2 linked regions of the Mytilus edulis genome follow. The main gene of each other region encodes a partner of the protein of the gene in region 2 in a complex. Links are inferred from orthologs where the notes say so. Each region holds a gene or a part of one and is shown on either strand. Other genes may lie near its edges.

What was found.
Region 1: the proteins of protein prenyltransferase alpha subunit repeat-containing protein 1-like (region 2) and synaptobrevin homolog YKT6-like are in contact, whole or in part, in a crystal structure (PDB 6J7F), measured with the Homo sapiens proteins. The link is inferred for Mytilus edulis from reciprocal best matches to the Homo sapiens genes PTAR1 and YKT6. Residues at the interface, in NP_001093136.1 of Homo sapiens: Glu31, Gly33, Leu34, Ile35, Pro36, Val48, Val50, Glu51, Lys53, Leu54, Gly55, Ser58, Lys135, Tyr191, His225, Ser228, Met229, His230, Val231, Ser232, Asp233, Phe298, Asp301, Leu302, Ser305, Tyr306, His309; in NP_006546.1 of Homo sapiens: Met1, Ser29, Phe30, Phe31, Asn83, Glu84, Pro86, Gln131, Asn132, Pro133, Arg134, Gln180, Phe184, Arg189, Ser193.

The regions. Positions count from the first base shown.
Region 1 is NC_092347.1:81,089,308-81,100,182, reverse strand, and holds the start of synaptobrevin homolog YKT6-like, read right to left. Parts: upstream 4,130-10,875; 5' UTR 3,837-4,129; intron 828-3,836; 5' UTR 810-827; coding exon 703-809; intron 134-702; coding exon 51-133; intron 1-50. UniProt on the Homo sapiens protein: Vesicular soluble NSF attachment protein receptor (v-SNARE) mediating vesicle docking and fusion to a specific acceptor cellular compartment. Functions in endoplasmic reticulum to Golgi transport; as part of a SNARE complex composed of GOSR1, GOSR2 and STX5.
Region 2 is NC_092347.1:89,619,705-89,630,726, reverse strand, and holds the start of protein prenyltransferase alpha subunit repeat-containing protein 1-like, read right to left. Parts: upstream 4,894-11,022; 5' UTR 4,873-4,893; coding exon 4,802-4,872; exon of another isoform or gene 4,789-4,801; intron 2,161-4,788; coding exon 1,991-2,160; intron 1,375-1,990; coding exon 1,299-1,374; intron 491-1,298; coding exon 386-490; intron 1-385. Other genes in the region: programmed cell death protein 7-like, read left to right, coding at 5,125-6,372, 7,700-7,831, 8,289-8,375, 10,572-10,703.

The sequences.
Region 1 (10,875 bases), about 8.5 Mb from region 2:
ATGTTTAAGGATATCTGTAATGTTTTTAATATCTAGAATTTTGAGTTTACCTTGTTCTTTGGTAGATGACCTTGAACAAATTGCTGTTCTTTCTACAATGATTTTACTGGTGAAATCCATAAACTCTTTGACACTAAAAAAAAAAGACACACACTAAATAATTGTAACTATAATGACATGTACATGTAACAATATAACACATTTATTTATCTTAGCAATGGCAGGGAGAATTCTACAATGTAAACATGACAAATTAAAAGTCATGGCATCAGCTGTAATTAATACATGAACCATGTTTATATAATACACTCATGTCATCTTTGTTAACTTCTTTTCTACCAAACAAAAAATTAGACAAAATTATTATACTTCTAAAAAAATTAATAAAGTACTAGTATAAAGGTATTTTATTAAGATATCTTAGTCAAGTTAGTGTTTTCTTGTCCTACTTAACTTTTATTTGGGGAGAAAAAAAATCCTGGTGGTTTCATAGTTCCATTGATGCTAACTGGTAGAACAACATTTTAGGGGAAAGTAAAATGATTTTACTAATGAAATGTTTCATTCAAATTCATCAAAAGTAACTGAATTTTGTTCAATTCTTGTAGAACATTAGTCATAGTGTCTAGGTCATCCTCGACCTACTTAATTAAAATTAACTTACTGATACAATATTGTATCTACCATTTGTATTTCACTTACCTAGACCTTTGAAAATATCCAAAAGATTGAAGGTCATGTGTAGCAGCAAGAAGCCTTACTTTCCCATTGGAATCTTTGAATAGCACTTCTATACAATAAAGCTTCATCGTTCTTGAATTTTGTTTCTGAAAAATGTCAAAGATCAGTATTAAACATGTATATTTGTCTTCATACATATTTTTTATTTGTACAAATGTAATTGTTGAAGGGGTGAATGTGTGGGTTGCAAAGCTGTAGGGTGCGAATGTGTCTTGGGAGCGAACAGACATGATACCAAGCTTAAGTCGTACTGGAGAGTGGAGACTAATTGTAAAGAATTTGATCACCTGTAATGTTCATTAGTTTAGAACAACTGTACTTTTGTTTTCAACAAATTAAAAAAACTAACACTTACTTTATCTACAATGTAGTACCAATTATTTCAAATGAAAATTTCTCAGATTTTTCAGGTCAAAATATGTTACACAAAATAAATTCCAATATTTTTAAAGAAAATTATGTTTTCCTTTAAGAGAACCAAAATCTTGTCTACAAAAAAGCAAGTTGTGAAAACAATAAATCAAATTAGTAACAGGGTCATTCTGTTTTGAAAAATGTTAAAGAAGAGTATTACACATGTAATTTTTGTTAACATATGTTTGTAGGGAAATTAACACAGTGAATATTTTGTTACTGTACAGTGGAGTCCCTGTGCGTCTGGTGATGTTGTGCATTACCTGATTTTGTCATATGGACAATGTAACAAAATCATTCTTGTCATTTTTTTAGTATTCCAAAGGGACAAAAAAGATTAAAATTGATAAGTCAAGATTAACTTTATAACTACAATTCGATGACTAACCAAATTTAGACAATTACCATTAAAAATATTATATAAACAGATAAAATTTGTTTCATTAAAGTCAAATTTAAATTAGATTGAAATAAATTTTGCTCTGTATCCTTGGCAGTCTGTTTGGTTTAAATTCAATTATTAATAATTATAGTGTGTATTATAAAATCTTTCTTTTCTTCAACATAAACTATTTTTTAAAAGGCATGCATGAAATCACTAGACATTTAAAGAACTCCCAAAACAGGGAGTTACCGCCGGAAAGTAAACATTAGTACGTTGATGGTTTTCTGTAACAAAAGAAGAAGGGGTTTCAAAATTTTGGATACACATCACACACAATCTTAAGGGTGAAACCATACATACATGTACAGAAGAGTTTAAGAAATTAACAGTATTGAATGAAATGTTTCACACAATATTATCCGATTTTTGGTTTTATCATTCTAATAAAGTGAAGTCATCAGGGTTTCCCCTGGGTCAATTATTTTTTTCGCCACCTCTTTCGCCAAAACAATATATTTTTCGCCACTTTATTATTTTTTTCGCCATATGACACAAATATATCTTTCTTTTGAATTCCCCTCCCTCAAACCTCAATAAGATTACTTTGCCCCATTGCTTTCTAAGATTACTTTCTAAAACTATTCTTTCGGTCTGTATTGTAATAAATAAAAATACTAAACATTTACCTTATAAAAAAAAAAAGAACTGTACAGGGAAAATTGATTATATTTTGAACAACTTTAAAAGAAAGGGACCACTTTTTTTTGAAATTAAAGAAGATATAAATCCTGGAATATAATCTTGGTTACATGAAAATGTCACAGTTCTTTGGGAAAGTTTAAAAAAAAATAATAACATGTGTCCTTTTGTACTAAGAAGTGTTTTTTTACAACAAAACAAAAGTTTTTTTATCACTTGACATTGATCCCTCATGTAAGGTGTAGTCATAACATTGAAGGGTTATTTTTATTCGAGGGGTTGTTCCCAACCTTTTGAATACATTTCTTTATAAAGACAGTTTTCTTTTCTATACCATCGCCAATACATGTGTAAGTACAACTATGCTTGAAACATGTGTGTCACTGAAACGACTTAAAAGTACCCACTCCAATCAATTATCGATTATCAAAGTTAAATGATAAAGTTTTAAATTAGAGACCTTTCTTGCTTTTGAACATTATCCTTCATAGGCAAGTTTTCTTTTCTGGACTATCATTAAAAGAAGGAGAAGAGTCGTCAAAATTTTGCTTCAAACACGTGCGTCGCAAAGTCACGTTAATAGATCCTTTTTAAAGTGACATGTAACGAACGCCATTCAACCATATCATTTTCTCATTACAATCAAAACCTTTATTAATTAGTCCTTTGATGTCGATAGGCATAAAATGCAATCAGCTGATTATTGATTATCTGTCAAAATCTTAACGAGTTCTAGGTGAATTCCGAGTATTGTCTGACCAGGTAAAGACAGAGAAATCCGAAAAAAAGTAAACAAACAAGATGGTTGAAAATAAATCGTTTTATATATTTCTTTTGCCAAATTCTTTCGCCAATGACGAATTTTAATCGCCACAATCATTATTTTTTCGCAAATTGCGAAAATGGCGACCGCCAGCGAAAACCCTGGAAGTCATAAATCTTACGTGTGAGGATACACCGGACTGCACCATACATGTACATGTATAGTTATCTCATAAAAGGTTATCTTGTCTTCATATACATTTTTTATTTGTACAAATATGATTTTAAAAGAGATGAACGTGTGGGGTCACTTGCAAACCTGAAGGGGGTGAATGTGTCTTAGGAGCGACCAGACCTGATAAGTGGTCTCATTGGGGGGTTCCGATCCCGGATCCCGCTTACTGTTTTGTCAGATTCCCATATCCCGCTTACACTATGTACGTAAGCAATTCTCATTTTTTTGTCATTTCCCGGGTCCTGCAAGACCTCATTTCCCGTTTTCACGCCACAATAATTTGACTTTCACGTGTCACGCTTACAAAAAATCGCCAATCCCGCGTCACGCTTAGACCCCAATGAGACCCACCTGATACCAAGTCATACTGTAGCTGCGGAACCGTAGCTCTTATGTCCTTATGCTATTTTTTCACTATTTGCTGACCATAGCTCTATGGTCCGCAAATAGTCAAAAAATAGCATAAGGACCTAAGAGCTACGGTTCCGCAGCTAGTCATACTGGAGACTTTAATTTGTAAAGAATTTAATCACCTGTAACCTTCATTAGTTTAGAACAACTGTACTTTTTTTTCAACTAATATAGAAAACTAACACTTACTTTATCTACACTGTTGCAATTATTTCAAATGAAAATTTGAATTTCTCAGGTTTTTCAGGTCAAAATATGTTGCACAAAATATTTTCCAATATTTTGTGATAAAAATTATGTTTCCGTAAAGATAAATCGAAACCTCCTCTTCAAAAATGCTCTTAAGATGTGACAAAAACAAATCAAAGTAGTAACAGGGTCATTTTGTTTTGACAAATTACTATAAATGTCACATGAATCACGGGCACTGATATTTGGCAATTTTGACAACACAGGAAATGACGTTAAACAGAGTTACCTTCTCTTGATAAAATTATAAAACACAAAACTTACCGGACGCGTGAATCCGTATTACAAATACGGAAAATGCTCATAAATGATTTTTATTGGTATTAATTAATATTCGTTAAATTCAATCATTATCTAAGACTATTTATGTATGTTATCAAACGAAATACCAAATGAAATACTTATCTTTTGAATATATTGTTGGCTTAAAAAAAATATAACTCAGTGTCTTATCATATATAGCCTATCTGGGACTAATACTTATGTGCCCCCCCCCCCCATATGTATGAAGCAACTCAAGAGGGTCTGGATGGAGGAATTTCAATTCTGTATTATTTTATTAGGTCATTCGAAATCGTTCTATATTATTGATATGTTTTTGTCCATTATACTATGATTCCTTTTTAACTACCAATTGTTGACTTGTCTATAATTCTTAATATTTTAACATCCCAATATTCTCTATTCTTCATTTATTTCGCCCATAACAAAGCATACATTTGTCTCTACTGTATTCTATATGTGTGTGGCCATTTTAGTTTTCTGTAGCATTGGTCCATTGTTCTCTATTATGTAAACCCCGTCAAGACCCTTACTTAACACTAAACTTTATTTGACATAGGATCTAGGAATATTTTCTATACCACTACATGTTTTAATGAAGACTGAGCATACTATACTGTATGGGTTATACTCATTGTTGAAGCCCACACGGTTGCCAAAAATTGCTTGCATTCACATCATTTGAACTTTGATAGTTGTCTCACTGGCAAATCTTACCACATCTACTTATTTTTCATGATATAAAATTCTTCATAATCATAATTTTTTTTTTACATGTGTAGTAATATTAATAATGTACACAGATAAAGATGATTAACTTTGACTATATAAAGTATTATAATTAAAATATTGGGGCGGGGGTTGGGCCCTCATTTTTTTTGGCCGATCACTATGATTCTCGGCATTTGAATGGGAATATGTAGTTTGACCCCTTTCTAAAATGGCTGGATCCGCCCCTGGTGGCCTGTCAATGTTTTTGGAGATAAAAAATAACTGTTCGTCCATTTGGATATAAAATAGGGTCCCTAAAGAACATAGTTGTATGTGTCGCTAACCTAATCCAATGATTCTATTAACCAATGGAATTTCCAACATTGCAAGTGGATAAGAATAGAATTCCTGACAAAAAACTGTTTTTGTTGATCATGTCTTGCTGATCATTTTGTGTTTGATTTCTCTCTATCTTCTTTAATTTTTGCTCAAAACATAAAAAGGGGTACACAAATACTTATTTTTTAAAGTGCAATCACCGTGAAATATGAAGAGCCCTACTAACAATATTTATAAAATTTTACTTGTTTGTGGATCTCACCATGCTTGTAGTTTTTGTTGTTCAACGTTTCTATTTATCGGCTGTAATTTGTATCATAAATGCAAAACGCTTAAAACAAACTGAATGGTAAAAATTGTCATTTAAAGCAATAACTCCAATAATGAGTCAGATTATTTCCTCCACTTGTCTAAAATGTAGATCTTTCCTTGTAAGTCACTATTTAAAAAAAAAATCGATCTATCTTTTACAGTTTTATAAGGCAATCATGAAAAAAATGATTGGAAAAATCTGTAACCAATAGGCAATAACTCTTATAGGAAGTCGACTGACGATTTCGACGACTTCGAAAATACGCTCTTATCTTTAGATCTTGATTGCTATTCTTTTTGCAACTTAAAGTTTCTCTCTGTCTGTAATAGTTTTCAAGATGAAAGGCTAAATGATGAACTGAATTGGTAAAAATTGCTTTTTAAGAGCAATTTTTGACGTCCATGAACAATTAGAAGAGCTCAACATTATGATCATTTTTTGTCCTTGTCAGATTTAACACAAGTAACATGTTTAATGTAACATGAAAAAAATCCCTATCTCCCGATAGGCAACATCAAACAAAGAATTCGTTAAGAGTGGACAAGCTTGAAACATAGAAACATTTTTGGCAAGATTTAATTTTGAAATGCATGCAGCCAATGGTATGGCTGGTCTTGTACAAGAAAAGGATATAAAATAGTTTCATATGTCAAAAACGTACATGGAGTGCTTTACAGTATCATAAATTGTCGTAAGCTTTGTTTTGTGATTTGTGGAGTTAATTGAAACTCTCGACTTCGACTGTCAGACGAAACAACAAAACAACTCGAAACTATAATAAAGTCTATACTTGCAATTGTGCAATACAAACAAACGTGATGAGAGCAATGTGAAATGTCAAATATATACATGATCATCTCATCTATATATATATATATATATAACTAACTAACACATTTCATGTTTGTCGGTCAAATATAATATTTAAATTATTATATTCAAATCGCTGTAGAACATCAGTTAACTTTATATACGATTAAGGTTTGTGCCAGCATTAAAAAATGAGTAGTTCAAGCTAGCATTTATAAGCGTTAGTGGCCTTCTGAAATTAAGGGTAACTTTATAAACCACTTTTCTAGAATAAGAATGTTCAATGTTTCGTAATTTTTCAGTATCAGTTCAAAGAAAAACACTTTGCATCTAGATAATGAAGAATTTCAACTGTTATTCATATATTTGTGTGATTTGGTGTTCAGAAAATCATTCAGATGAGTATTGGGATAATGGTCTAGAGTCTCGTTCTATCCCTGATGTTCCTGGTGTACATGCGACAAAGATTTGTATAGTAGAACATCCATGACACGAAGAAAACTTTTAAAGACCAGATTCCATAGTATAGTTTTATTACTATTATGGTATTTATATCAAATTACATTAAAAAAAATGTAAGATTCATAACTCTGTGCATGTCTCGATCTGCACGGCATGTAGATCTGTCTTCACGTATATATATGATACAAACATAAAAATAGTCATAACAAATAACGGGTTTAATTTCATTTCAATTACCGATTTATTCATTTTTTATAAAACTAACTTATCATTAACAGGCCAAAGTTTTGAAAATTGTTTAAAGGTACTTATTTTAAGAGATATTTCCATATATTTTACCATATATCACGCAGTTATATTACTACTTAACGACAATTTAAACACCAATTTTGAAACCTGATTATGATTTTTATCAATAAATCAATCTCACTATTTAATTATTTTTTAATGTTAATTTAAATCTTGACTATACATACAGTTCATTGTGCCGGTTTAGTGGCTCATTTTATTCTTCTTCATCTTTTGATGACATGTACCTGTATTTACTGTGCTTACTCTAATCTCTTACACTGTATCATTCAATTCGCTCAAACTGATCTCCTGATGAAACATTCAGTATTGTGAAAGGGAAACTTTTCAGATTTTTACCCTGTGAGTGAAGCATAGTATGGTAAAATAAGCTGTACGTCTGTAGTTTTCAAGGAAATGGACATATTTTCTTTGCCAGTGTAGTACGTGCAATTTTGTTTCAATGTCAACGTGGGTCTTATAAAAACTTTATACATTTGCGATGTCAATGCTCTTTTCGACAAATGATTACTTGTTAAGGGTAATCAAGGCGAAGATATTTGTAAATTAAAAACCTATAACAAAACTGTTACCTAAAGTAGTCAAATTACAGAAAACTACCCAAAGTAAAGTCAAACCCGGTTTTAAGGAATCAGAGTTATGCATTAGAGAATTGTCTTTCTGAGTTTCAAGTAATTTTCTTAAGTTCTATCAATGTAAAGTTAACAGTATTTGTATTATCATGCCAATACTGATCTTCTTGGCTCCATTCCCCAATAATTTCAAAATGTAACAATCTGAATCTACCAGTAGAGTCTGAGGTCACAGACACTTGTCTCAAATTTTCCCCCCTAAATACCTTAAAGTTTATATTAAGGTATATAGGAATTATTTTTTTTTTGAGACATGTGCCTGTGCCTGAGGTACCAACGGCGAATCAGAAATCAAATACGAAGTCAACGTTGTTTAACAATCTGAATTAAAATTGTTACAAGAAAATTTGTTTTCATGATAATGCATTTCTAAAATATAAACTTTGCTCTTCAAACTAAATTTAATACTAATTTTTTTTGCTAATTTAAAAAAAAAGATCTAAGTCATCATAACCGGATTTATTTATTATTTTTTCATGGTTTGTGTTACAACTGAATTTGACAAGACATTAATTCAAAATTATCTTGTAATGATCAAATTACAAAAAAAAATCTCTTTTTACGGAATTGGTCTAGATGAATTTAATGCAGAACCATGTACATTTATCAAGTTTATTGCCTTTTAATGTTATATATCTACAAAAGTCAAATTCTTTTTAGTTACCTTTTTCGCTTTTAAATTTTCTTCGATGACATTCCTTAGATTGGAAAAAAACTTTATTCGGAAGGTCGTAACATACTTAACAAAAATAACTCCAGCCTGAAAAAAGGTGAGAACAAAAAAACAACGGAACATATATTCCTGCTACCTTATAAATCTGTCGACACACAATGTCTGTAGGTTAGATATATCAACTTCTTCAGAATTACATATTTTGATCGTCAGTCCAACCTTAATTTTAACTATGACAAACATGAATACACTTGTATATATACTTGTTATTTTCTATAAAAGATCGGGAACGTATAGTTCACTTGAGAGAAAAAAATATGCATGTTTTACTGAAAACAAATCATAAAAGTATAGCTATACACAATAGAAGAAAAATATTTTATTTTCTATTATGGGCCCCAAAGTGCATAAACATTACAACATCAATAATTGTCCCACAATACGCAATACGATACATACAATGAGATAAATAAAAACAAGAACAGATTAACAATTTAAGTTCTCAAAGTAATAGATCTATATAGATTAAAAAGTAACCTATAATTTTGAATATAAGATTATCTATAATGCATTTTAATGCAAGTGTGTTGAAATATATATAACAAACACATATATCAACCTTCTAACATGATAAGAAAACACTTCTCAGAAACATTTGTATTGTAATTGTTCTGCTATTTACATCTGCCAAAGGAAAATGTAGAGATAAAACAAAATGCATGTCCTCTGCCAAAATAAATTGTATTTGTAATATAATTGATTTGTAGCGTGACCACCATACAATGCAACATATAACTAATTACATCATATTAACTAAAGTAATTACGTGTAAAACATTGATAACATGTATTTCAATAATTAATGTATGACCACGAAATGTCTAGCGGCAAACAAGTGCAATATCTCAAATAGTTCCCAATCACTAAACTTAGTACATAAGTACTATCCTTCAAAGTAAACCATTCTGCTTTACATGTATTGTAATAATTGGATTGTTCATGACTGAGAAAAGATTAAGTTTTAATGCCAACTGGTATATACAATAAAATGTAACTTTATGGAAAATAATTAAGGACGTGTCTACCCAGTTCATTTAGAACATATTTGACCATGAACATGATGGTGGCGAAGTGGAAATGTGTTGTTTGTTGATTGCTAAACGTCTAGCAGCAAATATTTTAGACATCTTCTTTTTTATATATTTATATATTCAGGACGATAACAAATACCAACAAATCTAAAAGAAAGGCTCGTATAGGCCAACCATAATGTAAGGGGCTGGGGGTTTACTGACATTGGAAAATTATGATGTCAAAGGAGGAGAAAATTTGCATTGCAACATACCACTTGCTAACTCATCAGAGTTTCTATAAAGGAAACTACCTCCTGGTAGCGTGTTAGTCTCGGTGCGGTTGGTTGTGGGTTCGAACCTCGGCTGGGTCAAACCAAAAAAAAAAATTGGTATGTGCTGCTTCTGCCCTTAACAAGCGGCATTAAGTAATAAGAACAAAGACAAGTCAGCTCGGAGTCAGAATAAGGTGTCCGAGTATGGAGACATGTCTTCTTGCTGACTGTTACCTTGTGCACTAGCACGATAAAAATCCGAATCAGCGAGTAGGTCTTGTACAAAGCAGGGTTTATATTCAGATAACCTTAGTATGTTCTCGTTCTGAAAGGCATATAAATTTGCCACTGGACGTTAAGCAGCCATCCACCATCATTTGCATCATCTTATAAAGGTTTTAATTTAAGAAGGAGAAAAATGACCATTAATTTGTGTTTTTCGGGGAATTTTTGGAGATAAGTTGGAAATTGGAATGGAGAAATTATAATTGTACAGTGAAACCTCATCAAATAAAATACTATAACTTCAATTGTATATATATACAAAATAACCCCAACACTGTTTTATGTCTGTCCTACAATATTTCCGGCGTAGATACCTGTTTAGTTATGTCGGCGCGACTGTATAAACCTGCAAGAGTGCAAATTGCATTTAATCTTGATCTTCTTGATCAGATTTCTGCTGAGCAGTAAATATCAAATTAAACATCAGCTATAAAAATCGAACTTTCTATCTATACACATTAATAGACAATGGGAAAGGAAGGTAGTGATTTGGCGAAAATGTGTTTTGTACTAAAGTACATACGGTAAGTCTAATTCTGACATGTGTTACTATGTACTAAGTAAAATAATATATATACAATACAAGAAATAAGAATCGAAACAAAATAATATAATTACATTAGATGTATGTTTCATTATAATACTTTATTCTGATTGGCTAACTGCACATTACGTGTTATTCCGTAAGCAGTTGCATTGCTCAATACAACTTTTCATCATGATAACACGTGGTCCAACAATAAAGTGCACAGGTGAATTAAATAGAAAAATATATAAAATTCGTGTTTTCATGATCATAGCTAAATAATGTAATTATAA
Region 2 (11,022 bases):
TTTATAGTGAACATCCTACAATGTTTGTGATTAAAAAATTTTCATATTCCTTATCAACCAATTAATTTGAAATTTTGTCTTATTCTTTTTATTTGACATTCTACAAATGTTCTATGTGAAGGCTGAATTGTGAGAGGGGGGATAACTCATGAAAATTCAGTTATTTGGAAAGAAACATCCTGCTGAATAATATTTTTACTTTTCACTGAATGAAAGTTTTGAGTTAAACATTGAGTTCAATGGAAATCTTCAACTCTAAGATATTCTATTCCCCTATTTTAAATTGATCTTGTCATCTGTAACTGAAGTTTATAAATGTTTTTGAATGTTATTGTTACTTGTGACAGGTTAGTGGACTTTTAGCTCTTTGTTTATTTATCTATACCTGTGACTGAAAGTTTCTGGACTTTTGGGGTGCTTTCCCAGTACCAATGCTCCAAGTTTCAAATCATCTGCTACTGATAGGTCACCATTCTCTATTAATTCTTTTCTGTAATACAAAAGTATTGCTCTATTAATTTGTTTTCTCAGTTTAATTGTTTTAGATTTTTCAAATGCCTTTTATTGCAGACAATATGGTATGGGGTTTTCTCATTGTACAAGATGTACGGTTGGCTATAATTGCTTTCATCCTTTTCTTTTGGATTTTGGTGGATATTGGTCAGATTGGCAATCATACCTGATCTCCTTGTTGTTATATTGCATGCAATCTAAATCATGAAAAGGTCTTTGCTATATACAATAATGTATAGCACTAACATATTATACCATGACCATAAAGAAAGTGACATGCTTTAAGTTCAAGGTGAATAGAAACCAATATGAAGTGAATGCAAGGAGAGAGGGTTTTACAAACAATACTTTCTATGCAACATATTACACTATTTCATTTTGGGCAACTTTTGTTAGAGGAAAAACAAGGGCCTGGGATAAATCATTTATTTTCAGAGTGGTCAGCTTTACACATACTTATGTTTTACTTTTATCAACTCAACCACATACAATGTAATTTACCTTTTACCATAAATGCATGGCTTTATTTTTTTTACAGTAAAATTGTATCTCCCTCTTTGCAATTTTAAGCATAAAACAGTACAATATAATTTGGATAGCTGAATTAAAAAAAAATGGTAGAAGTACACTCCATTCTAGGGACTTTATTTGAAGACTCAAAATTGAAGGGCAATATTAGCGGTGCCTGCCCAATAATATGAAAAAAAATTTTATTTTGAAGAAATGTATATATAAATGATTATATTTAATTGCTTAATTGATTTAATGATTATTTCAAACCCTACCTGATGTTCCATGCAGTAGAACAATCTGGATTGACTAACACTATTGCTCTAGTTAGATTTATTAAATCCAATTGACCTGTAAAACATAAACAAGTAAAATATAATACACTCATTTTAGCTGGCAACATTTTGTTACCTACATGTATTCTGACATTGGACTTGATATTCTTTCATTTCTTTTAAACTGTGTTTAACTGTGCATATTGCTGTGTGTTTGTTTATTCTATGTTGGCTCTAAATCCAGAGGTAAAAGGGGAGGATTGAGATTTCACAAAACAAGTTTCTTTTTGCACCAGTCCCAAGTCACCAGCCTCTAGCATTTGTAAGTCTTGTACCTTTTTTTATTTAGTTCATTTAAATATTTTGGAATTGAGTGTGACATCTATTTTCACTGAACTAGTTTACATTTTTTGTTTAGGGGTCACCTGAAGGCTGCCTCCTGTACAGGATTTTCTTGCTGTGTTGAAGACCCATTGGTGGCCTTGAGTTGTTTTCTGTTCTTTGGACAGGTTGTTGTCTCTTTGAAACATTGCCCATATCCTTTCTAATTTTTATATTTAACAGCCAATATTTAATGATGCATTAAAATAAAGAAATTGATATCTAAACCATGCATTTGGCATTGACTTTTATTCTTGATTTTCTAAACTAAACTAAATGAATAACTGAGATGGTATTGCGTGTAGTTTTACCTAAGAATTTGGCATTAACTTCTTTCATCCTCCATGTCATCAGTGTATTGTAGGCATAATGATGAAGAATTTTGACACTCCACATCTCAAGTCCAAGTTTATGGTCTTGTAGAATGAGTGGACTTCGGTTGTGTTTGGGTTCCAGTACTGGTAGAAAGTCATATTCATCACTGTAAATAATTCAAAATGTAAATGTTATAATATATTATATAATATGCATGCATGGCTTCCACATTTTGTGTTCTAATGATGTTTTATCCAGACAAAATCATTCACGATACTGAGTCACTTAGTGTTAATTTTCAATAACTTAGTGGAAAGGTATATATGAAATTCAAAGTGAGGGGCTTTGGTTAATAACTTCCTTTCATATTCATGTTCAGCTACATATATGGTTCATGCATAGACTTTTCACATATAGTTTGGGCCCCCATTTTTCAAAATCCTGGATATGTATCTGAAACAACTTCCTTGGCTATTTCCTTTGAAGTTCAACACGTCTGTATGTTATTATACATTTTGTAGATGTGATAATGAGCAGATAAGTGACAAAGTGCAAACTATTGTTTGCTATTGTTTGACAGTTGTTGGGCAATCTTGAACAGCAAAGTCGATTAAAACAACCTACTATTCTTAAGTAGGGATTCCAATGAGGGTGACGTGCAATTTGAGGTCAGTGAAAAGTTAATATCATTTCAAAGTTTTAATGATCATTTAAAATGATTCCAAAGTCATTTTAACAAGATGCAAATTGTGTGCAGTTACAAATATATACATGTACATGTTTAGAAAAAATTCTTGAAAAATAGAAGTAAAATCCAAAGCAACATCCAAAAAGTAAAAGATATAATCTATTCTCAATTGAAACTCATAAAGCAACGTTACATCACATGTAAATACAGGGAAATGACACAAAGACCTTACAAAGAACAATGTATCCTGATGCTACAAAAATTGTATATATCAAAAAAGACATAATTTGCAAATGTGAAATTTTAAAAGTAACAATAAATACATATGACCAAAAAAAAATACTATAGTGGTCTGCAATATCCGTATTATAATGATGGGTCCCTGTCCTGAAATACAATGCAGCAATTTCAGAAGTGACTATATAGCTATAATGAATTCTTATTGTCAGATACTTTGTGTAATCTTACCCAGTGCTTAATATTTAATTAGAACCAGGATTTGTGTAGTAAAAAGGTTCTTACTATAAGTATTATGATTAAGACATTACATTCTATTCTCTGTTTTTTTAAATTGATAATCAAGCCTTAAAAGTCAGCAGGAATTGTTATTTTAATGTCTTTATCATGTGTAACATATCCTCTCCTTTCACAGCAGATGGATGTACGTCATTCTGACAAAATGACTTTTTGTTGTAAAATATTCTTTCTCAAAACAAACTCTCAATATCTTTAGGTCTTTTCACCACTGAACTCACTGCACACCGCCGAACAGCCCAAAAATTATATTATTTTATCTTTTATCATTATAAATGTGACCTTAATCATGTTAATATAATAATTTAGTTATTAATTCAACAAAATATTAGATTGATAAAACCAAACATCTAAATCAAACATTTAACATAATATTTTTTTATAGGAGAGTACAATGTGTATATAATATAAAGAACAATTTGAAAAAGTATATGCTAGCAGTCTCTGGGACCAGGAACATATATTAACTGATAGATATATACTGTTCCCAGCTGGGACCCACATCTCCAAAAACACATACAACAGCTAGAAATGGTCCAAAGTAGAGCAGCCAGATTCATCAGACATGAGTATTCTCAAGACCCAGGCATAGTAACATCTTTATTAGAGAACCTAAAACTACCACAACTACCATGACTATAGGAGAGACGAAAAACATCATGTTTACTCCTTTTTCACAAAGTAATCCACCAACTTATTGCAATTCCAATTCCAGAATACTTGACACCACCAGCAAGAATGATGCGTCAATTCCATCAACGGCGATTTGTCAGATTAGGATCAAGTTCTGAACAAAGAAAACATAGCTTCTTCGTAAGAACCATCACAAATTGGAATGAACTACCGCATTTATTGCTGTCTAGTCTATTGGACATTGACGACTATGAAGCATTCAAGACCAACCTCATAGCACACAGATATCTGTAAATCAGCACACAAATGTTTTTATCTGCCTTGGCACCTGTGCATATGATTTTAATTAGGCAGCAACCATTTGATTTTCTGGGGGGGGGCTATGGTTTTTTTTGGAAAAAAAAGTTTGTTTCCAGTTTTTGGAGAAAAAAATAATTTGTTTTTGATTCTGAGAAAAAAAAATTGTTTGTTTCACCCTCAGCTGCCACTATATGTAATGCTAAAATTGAAAGAAAAAAATTGTTTTCGACCTGTCGCGAAAAAAATAGATTGTTTTTCGCCGCAGGCGAAAAAAAAAGTTTGCACAGATAAAAAAACCATAGCCCCCCCCAGAAAATCAAATGGTTGCTGCCTTAAAAGAGCACATTTTGGATGACACAACTTTAAATTTTAACATATTACAGATTACCCATATAGATGTATAGGTGTGGCCGAATCGACCGTGTCCGAAACGACCTTAACGATATGGTTAATAACTCTCAGGACATTTCGGCCACATAAGTTATGTGGCCGAAATGTCCCGAGAGTTAAGACATAATATCTTAATAATTTCTTTGTTTACATCTGTTTTTATGAAGAATTTGGTTCAATGCAAGCTTTCTCAATGAAATTACATCGCCTATTGAAATGCCAAACTGTTCGAAATGGGGCTTAATTTACAGTTTTTAATTACATCTCGGGGTCCTTCCGAAATACGCTGTTTAAATCTGAAAGTAGGCGACATCCTCTGCTGTCAGACGACATTTTGGATTTTTTGTTATGATCACGTGATGTCGCACAAAAAGATAATATACTGTTCTTTTTATTATTATTTTGTATTTTGAACGCCAAATATAAATATTTTTGTCTATTATGAATCTCTTTTACACAATAAAATTTTTTATTGCTGCAATTAACAATAAAATTAAAGTCACGAATATACGAGATTAAAGATGTCAGCGCACATGAAAATCCAACCAAAAAAAACAACTTTTTAATTAGAAACGGATAAGAAAGATGTACAGTCGAAATAACAGCAGAAAGAACTTTCGGCCTGCAAATCCTCGATTTGTCACACGAGGCCAAAACCAGAGACACAATTTTCCTCCACGAACACCGGGACAGTACACCCCAAGAAATAACCAACCAAGAAGGTTTCAAAACACAAACACTATCACGTCCAATTTTCCAAATAATGAACACGGGCAAAATCAACGCTCATTTGAAGAAAGAGTTGATAATCGCAATGTTCAAAGTAGTAGACCACAAGGGCCTTCTTCATTTCCAATATACAACCAAGGGCAAACACAAGGCAGCCAACAAGACCAATCACAACCTTCAAGCTGGGAGCTAAACACTTCTATGTCTATGAGAGATCCAAATCGCAATAGGACTGGCATGGCAAAATACAGTTCTGACTCGAGAATTACACCTCAAACATCAATCGATGGCTATCACCAGGCTCCACTTATCAACATGTCGATGAATGATCAAAAACCTTTTAACTGGTCAATGAATGATCAGAAGAATGAAATTCTTGACAGTAAAGGTAGTGGAAACTTTTTTACAAAAGTTGCACAAGAAGAAATACAAAAATCAAAATCAACTTTCAATTCACAGAATATGCAAATTCCAGGTCTTGATGTTATTCCTGATCAGGATGAAAGCACCACACTTGTGCAAAGGTCAAGCATAATATCACCTCAACAAAGTTCTGAATTGCTGGGTTCTTTGAGTTTCGCACAAACTGAAAAACCGTTTGACAATAGACAACAAGATCATACAAATCCTCAAATTCACCAATTTACAAAACCATTGGACTACCAAGGACTTAGTCATGTTAGTGTTCCTGAATCAGTTCAACCTGTACAAATGATGATCCCAAATTGTCCACCTCCTTCCAATTCATTTTTGCAAAATGATATGCAATTCAGAAATAATCAGCTTGGAATGCCACCACCAATGAACAGATTTCCTAATCCATTTCCACCACCTAATTTTCAACCAAAACCCTACGCAGGTTCAAATCCGTTTCCTCCAAATTCTCATCCTCCTCCACTCAAGCCAGTTATGAATCAGCAAATTCAGCAGCACCACCAGCAGCCGTTTCAACTTAAAAAAGAATTAATTCAGACAGAACATGCAACTGTACTGCCAGGGAAAGAAAAAGATACAGAGTGGATAAAATCATGGCTTGATAGAAAAGGAATACAATCTGATGATTGGAAGGTCCAGAAAAAAGAATGTGTCAAAACACCAGTTAATGTAAGAATTGGCTAGCAAAAATGTAGGACAGAAAATCACAGGACAAAAAGTCACAATTCAGTTTTGAGACTACATGTATATTTCTTTGAACAAGAAAACACAAATTTAAAAACGAATATTTTTGTTTTTTCTTGAACTATTATATACAATGATATAAAAGGCAACTTTAATTTTGTAATTAAAATGTTTTCAATAAATATCAATAATGATCAAATAATTGTTATTAAAACAAAATGTCAAAGTTGCTTGGTACACAAATGTCTTCATGGTGCTAAGAAATATATTCTTTGCATGATTAAAATGTGATGAATTTTCATTTATCAAAACCTGTGACAAATTTCCTTATCTGAAAAATTAATATACATATGTATGTAGTAAAAAGAAAATATTTCTGGATCTTTCTCTTATACATGTATATTCAAACAATTGTTGAAGAATTATATGTGACTTTTTGTCCTGTGACTTTTTGACCTATCAAATTTGTGACTTCATGTCTTGTGACTCTCTGTCTGTTTACCGGCTAACAATACTCAATCTATATATCAATATATATAGATGAGCAGTGTCATAAATGATCTAGTGAAAATACGCTGAAGTACAATTCTAAAATAAGTATTGCAACATTCCAATGATAGACAAACAAGATTCAATCGATTGAATTATTGAACTGTATTGTGATGTGATAAATGTTTCATTCATGACATTGTACTTCATGTCTCGTGTACTTGTAGCTACATAATGTAGGGTACACATCAATTAGACAGCAACCTCAATTTTGTTCAAAGTACAAGACTCTATGGGTCAGGCCAAAACGTATTATATGTGTAAGTTTCAAAGTTGCAAGTAAAGTTTTAACTCTTAACAGACATTAATTTACCTTTTTGTTGGACTATTGCATATATCACACAGGTTGAGACCATCAAACAAGTCAAAGCTAAGGATCTTTTCCCCTAAAAAATTGTTAAGTTAATGTAAATAAAACTGGACATGATTAAACCATCTACAGGTGTTAAGATATACATGTGTACACTTGTTGATTGGTCATGTTGGTTATACAAATGTATGTAAGGGACCAGGCTAGGGTTACAGCAAGTCTGTTTTCCTTGAGATACCAACTAAGGGAAGCAGTAGTTGTTACAAAGTAAAGTCTCAAACATTTTGTCTTTACAATGTACAAACATTGTATGCAAAGCATTTAAATGTGCATGTTGGAAAAACTTTTAATTCTTTATGCAAAAAGTATATATTTCAGTTGAAATTTTGTAGGGTTTAATGCAAGATTGCTTTATTTATACACATCTTTTTCAATTTTCATAATATGTTTCAGCTATATGATGTCCAAGAAAAAACAAAAAGAATGATGTTTCTGATGGCATCCCTTCAAAAACAGATCAAGATTTTAAAATCATGTGATCAACATCAGATTGAGGAAGAAATGAGAACAACTAATAAATTGAAGGTATGAAAGAACTATAAAGAATCATGGAAGAGAAATATTTAAACTATACAGGAATCCAGATGTTCCATGTTGTTAGTTGTTATGGATTTTTTTTGTATGGGATGTGTACATGTACATTTGTATGTTAAACATACATCTGTATCATGCATATAGAATGTATAGATAATTGTTTGATTGCTGATTTTTTAATGCTTTGTGCAAATAATTGAAACTTGAAAAAGATGGAATTCATTTAAATAAATTTACATATATATAATGTATACTGCTGAATGATGTAACAATTGTTTTTAGTACCAATACATTTGTACCTACAATGTACATGTGTATGGATCTAATCACATACATTACATACATATTGACATGATTGAAATGATTCATTAAAATTTCTTCATTTGAATACCAATAATATCTTTATTTTATTTTTGAAAATAATTTCGAAATGTCTATATTTGTACAGGATGAAATGGATGCCATAAGGAAATATTTGTCCACAGTAGATGTTCTGGATTTAAGAATGAAAGTTAAGAAGAGGATGCAAAAAAGGGTTTGTTGAAAGCTATTAATTTGTTGTGTCAAAGTTGTGCAAAACTTTAAACAGCTCAGAATTTTCCTGAAATATCCAATGGTTATGAAAATAATAAAAGGCTTTAGTTATTCATGTACCATTAACCCAAACCTTCTATTTAAGACTCCTCAACCATAAGAATCCTCCTCCCTTTGTATTACAATTCATGTAATATAATTTGATCATTGTCTTTGCCAGAAATTTTGTAGCTGATAGATGATATGGTTTTGAGCTTTGATCCTTCATATCCTTTTGGAATCAAATTATCCCAGTTTATTTAGTTCCCTTATGAAGTTATGATTTTCAATTTATTTCAAAAGTATCAGTTATAAGGTTCATCAAAAAGAAGGTTAGTTTCAGGTTTAAATTATAATACATGTACAGTGCGTGTATAAGTAGAAACACATTCATTTGTTATTAATTTGTTTTTATCTTGAATAAGTAGATGAGATCATGTGTCTAGGGTTGGCAAAGTAAATTCATTCAAAACATTTTAAGAAAACCTGAAAAGGGCAATGTTTTAGCTGTATTAACTGTACTGTACTGACACATATAACATGTATGAAGATAGTTTTCATTAAATGCTTAAAGAAAAATTACTTTATACATTTGTACATAAAAAACTAAAGTTAGATGTATGAATAAGCGGTGTTTGTACAAGAAGAGTTGACAAACAAATGAAGTCGGGTCCAGTAATTTTGTTCATCCAAACATTGGTTAATTTGATAACGTTGGGATAATGAATGGTAAAAAGTTCTAACGCCTTGTGTATTGTTTGTAAAATGATTATGGAATATAAAATAATTAGATGAATACTATAAACACAACATCATATAAAAAAATTAAATGAAATTTGGAAATAACTTTATTTTTTGTATTATTTTCAGTATGTGAACATTCTAGCTGGACAAAAAGAATACTATTAGCCTGTTTATACAAATATCCTTTTGCATTACTGTATTATATCCTTTCAGCTTCAATTACTGTTGACATTTCATTCATTCTATGATCTGATTCAACAAATCTTTTAACTGCAAATTACTTTGTTTGCAGTTGAATTGATATCAGTTCAGACGTCCATGACCCTTGTTTTATCATAGTTTTTATTTGGATGTTTTTCATAGTTTAGTTAAAGTATTTCTTTGAACTTTTTTTTTCTTGGATAACATGATGTCACCATTCTAAAAGTCTAAATTTTGAAAGAAAAAAATTGACACAGTACAGGAACACATAGATATGATTATATTCAAAGAGTCTAGAAACTGGTGATATCATGAACAGATATGAAGTTGTACAACAAACATATCACAATTTTACATTACATTACAGAGTAAAGATTTTGAATACCTTAACACTAAAACTATGTCACTTAAGTTTAGGTCTGTCCATGGGTTACAATACACTAAATATATATATATCGCTAGATTAAAATTATTAGAATTCCATCAATTAAATTTAAATTTGTAAATGACAAAACATTTCTGATTATGGAGATACTAATAATCAGAGGTATTGAAAAAAGATATTTCAAGCCAGTTAAAATTCAATTTTGTAGTTCAATTTTCTTAGTTTGGTGTAGTTTGTTTTTTACAAATAATTTAAGACAGGATAACACTATAAATCACACTGAATCTCACCACCAGCACCTTCGACATGAAATAGAAGTTCTGTCATAATGAAAGTCAAAAAAATATTCTGTAATATTATTGCCACTGGAACAAATATTACAGTATTTGTTTCTTACTGAATAAAGGGCAAAGGAACAAATTTTATTGCATTGTTTATACAAAAAAGTATGTAGGAAACTTCTGTTACGTGGAACAAATATATATTGATAACTGGACTATCATATCTTCTGGCAGATATTACAAAATTAATTAAAAAAACAAAACCAACAGCTAACAAATACAAAACAACCTTAAAGGATAGATGCATACCAAGATAAACAGAATATTAATTGTTATAAACATTAATTTATTTTGAAAGATTTTAGTAAAATACCATATGCATGTACAAATTTATTCTAACAAACAGCTAATATTGATCTCAAATTTGAAATATGTTTTGGGTAATTCTCCATGAACAACAACACATCAAGAAAAGCAAAATGACCAACATTTTATTTTTCTCACTAGAATTTTTGTTTGCTTATAATTGAATGAACTTTCATTTTAGGAGAGGATTAAGAAACAAAGAGAAGAGAAATATTTATCCAGACAGAGAGAATTAGAACAGAGAGAACAATTACACAAGGAAATAGATGGGAGGTTAAAGAAAGTCCATGATAAATACGGTAACAAAAGACAGGTAGTGTTTGTTAATGTATCTATGGGCTGTGATGTGAAAAAAACGTTAAAGCTTTACAAAGAAAGAATTTCATGATAATTTTTCCAACATAAAAATTAGATCTGTTCATTTTTTATGGATGACAAAATGTATTAAACATGTTAAAATAACCAAGATAATTAATACATTTTATATGCTTATATCGACTGAAAACTTTTAAGAACATTGAAGAAAGAACTTTGTGCATTCCCGTTGAAGCTTGGTCTAGAAAATAATTTTTTTAACCCATTAAAATTTATGTATTACCTTGATTTTATACCGATAGCAGAATGCCTGTTTT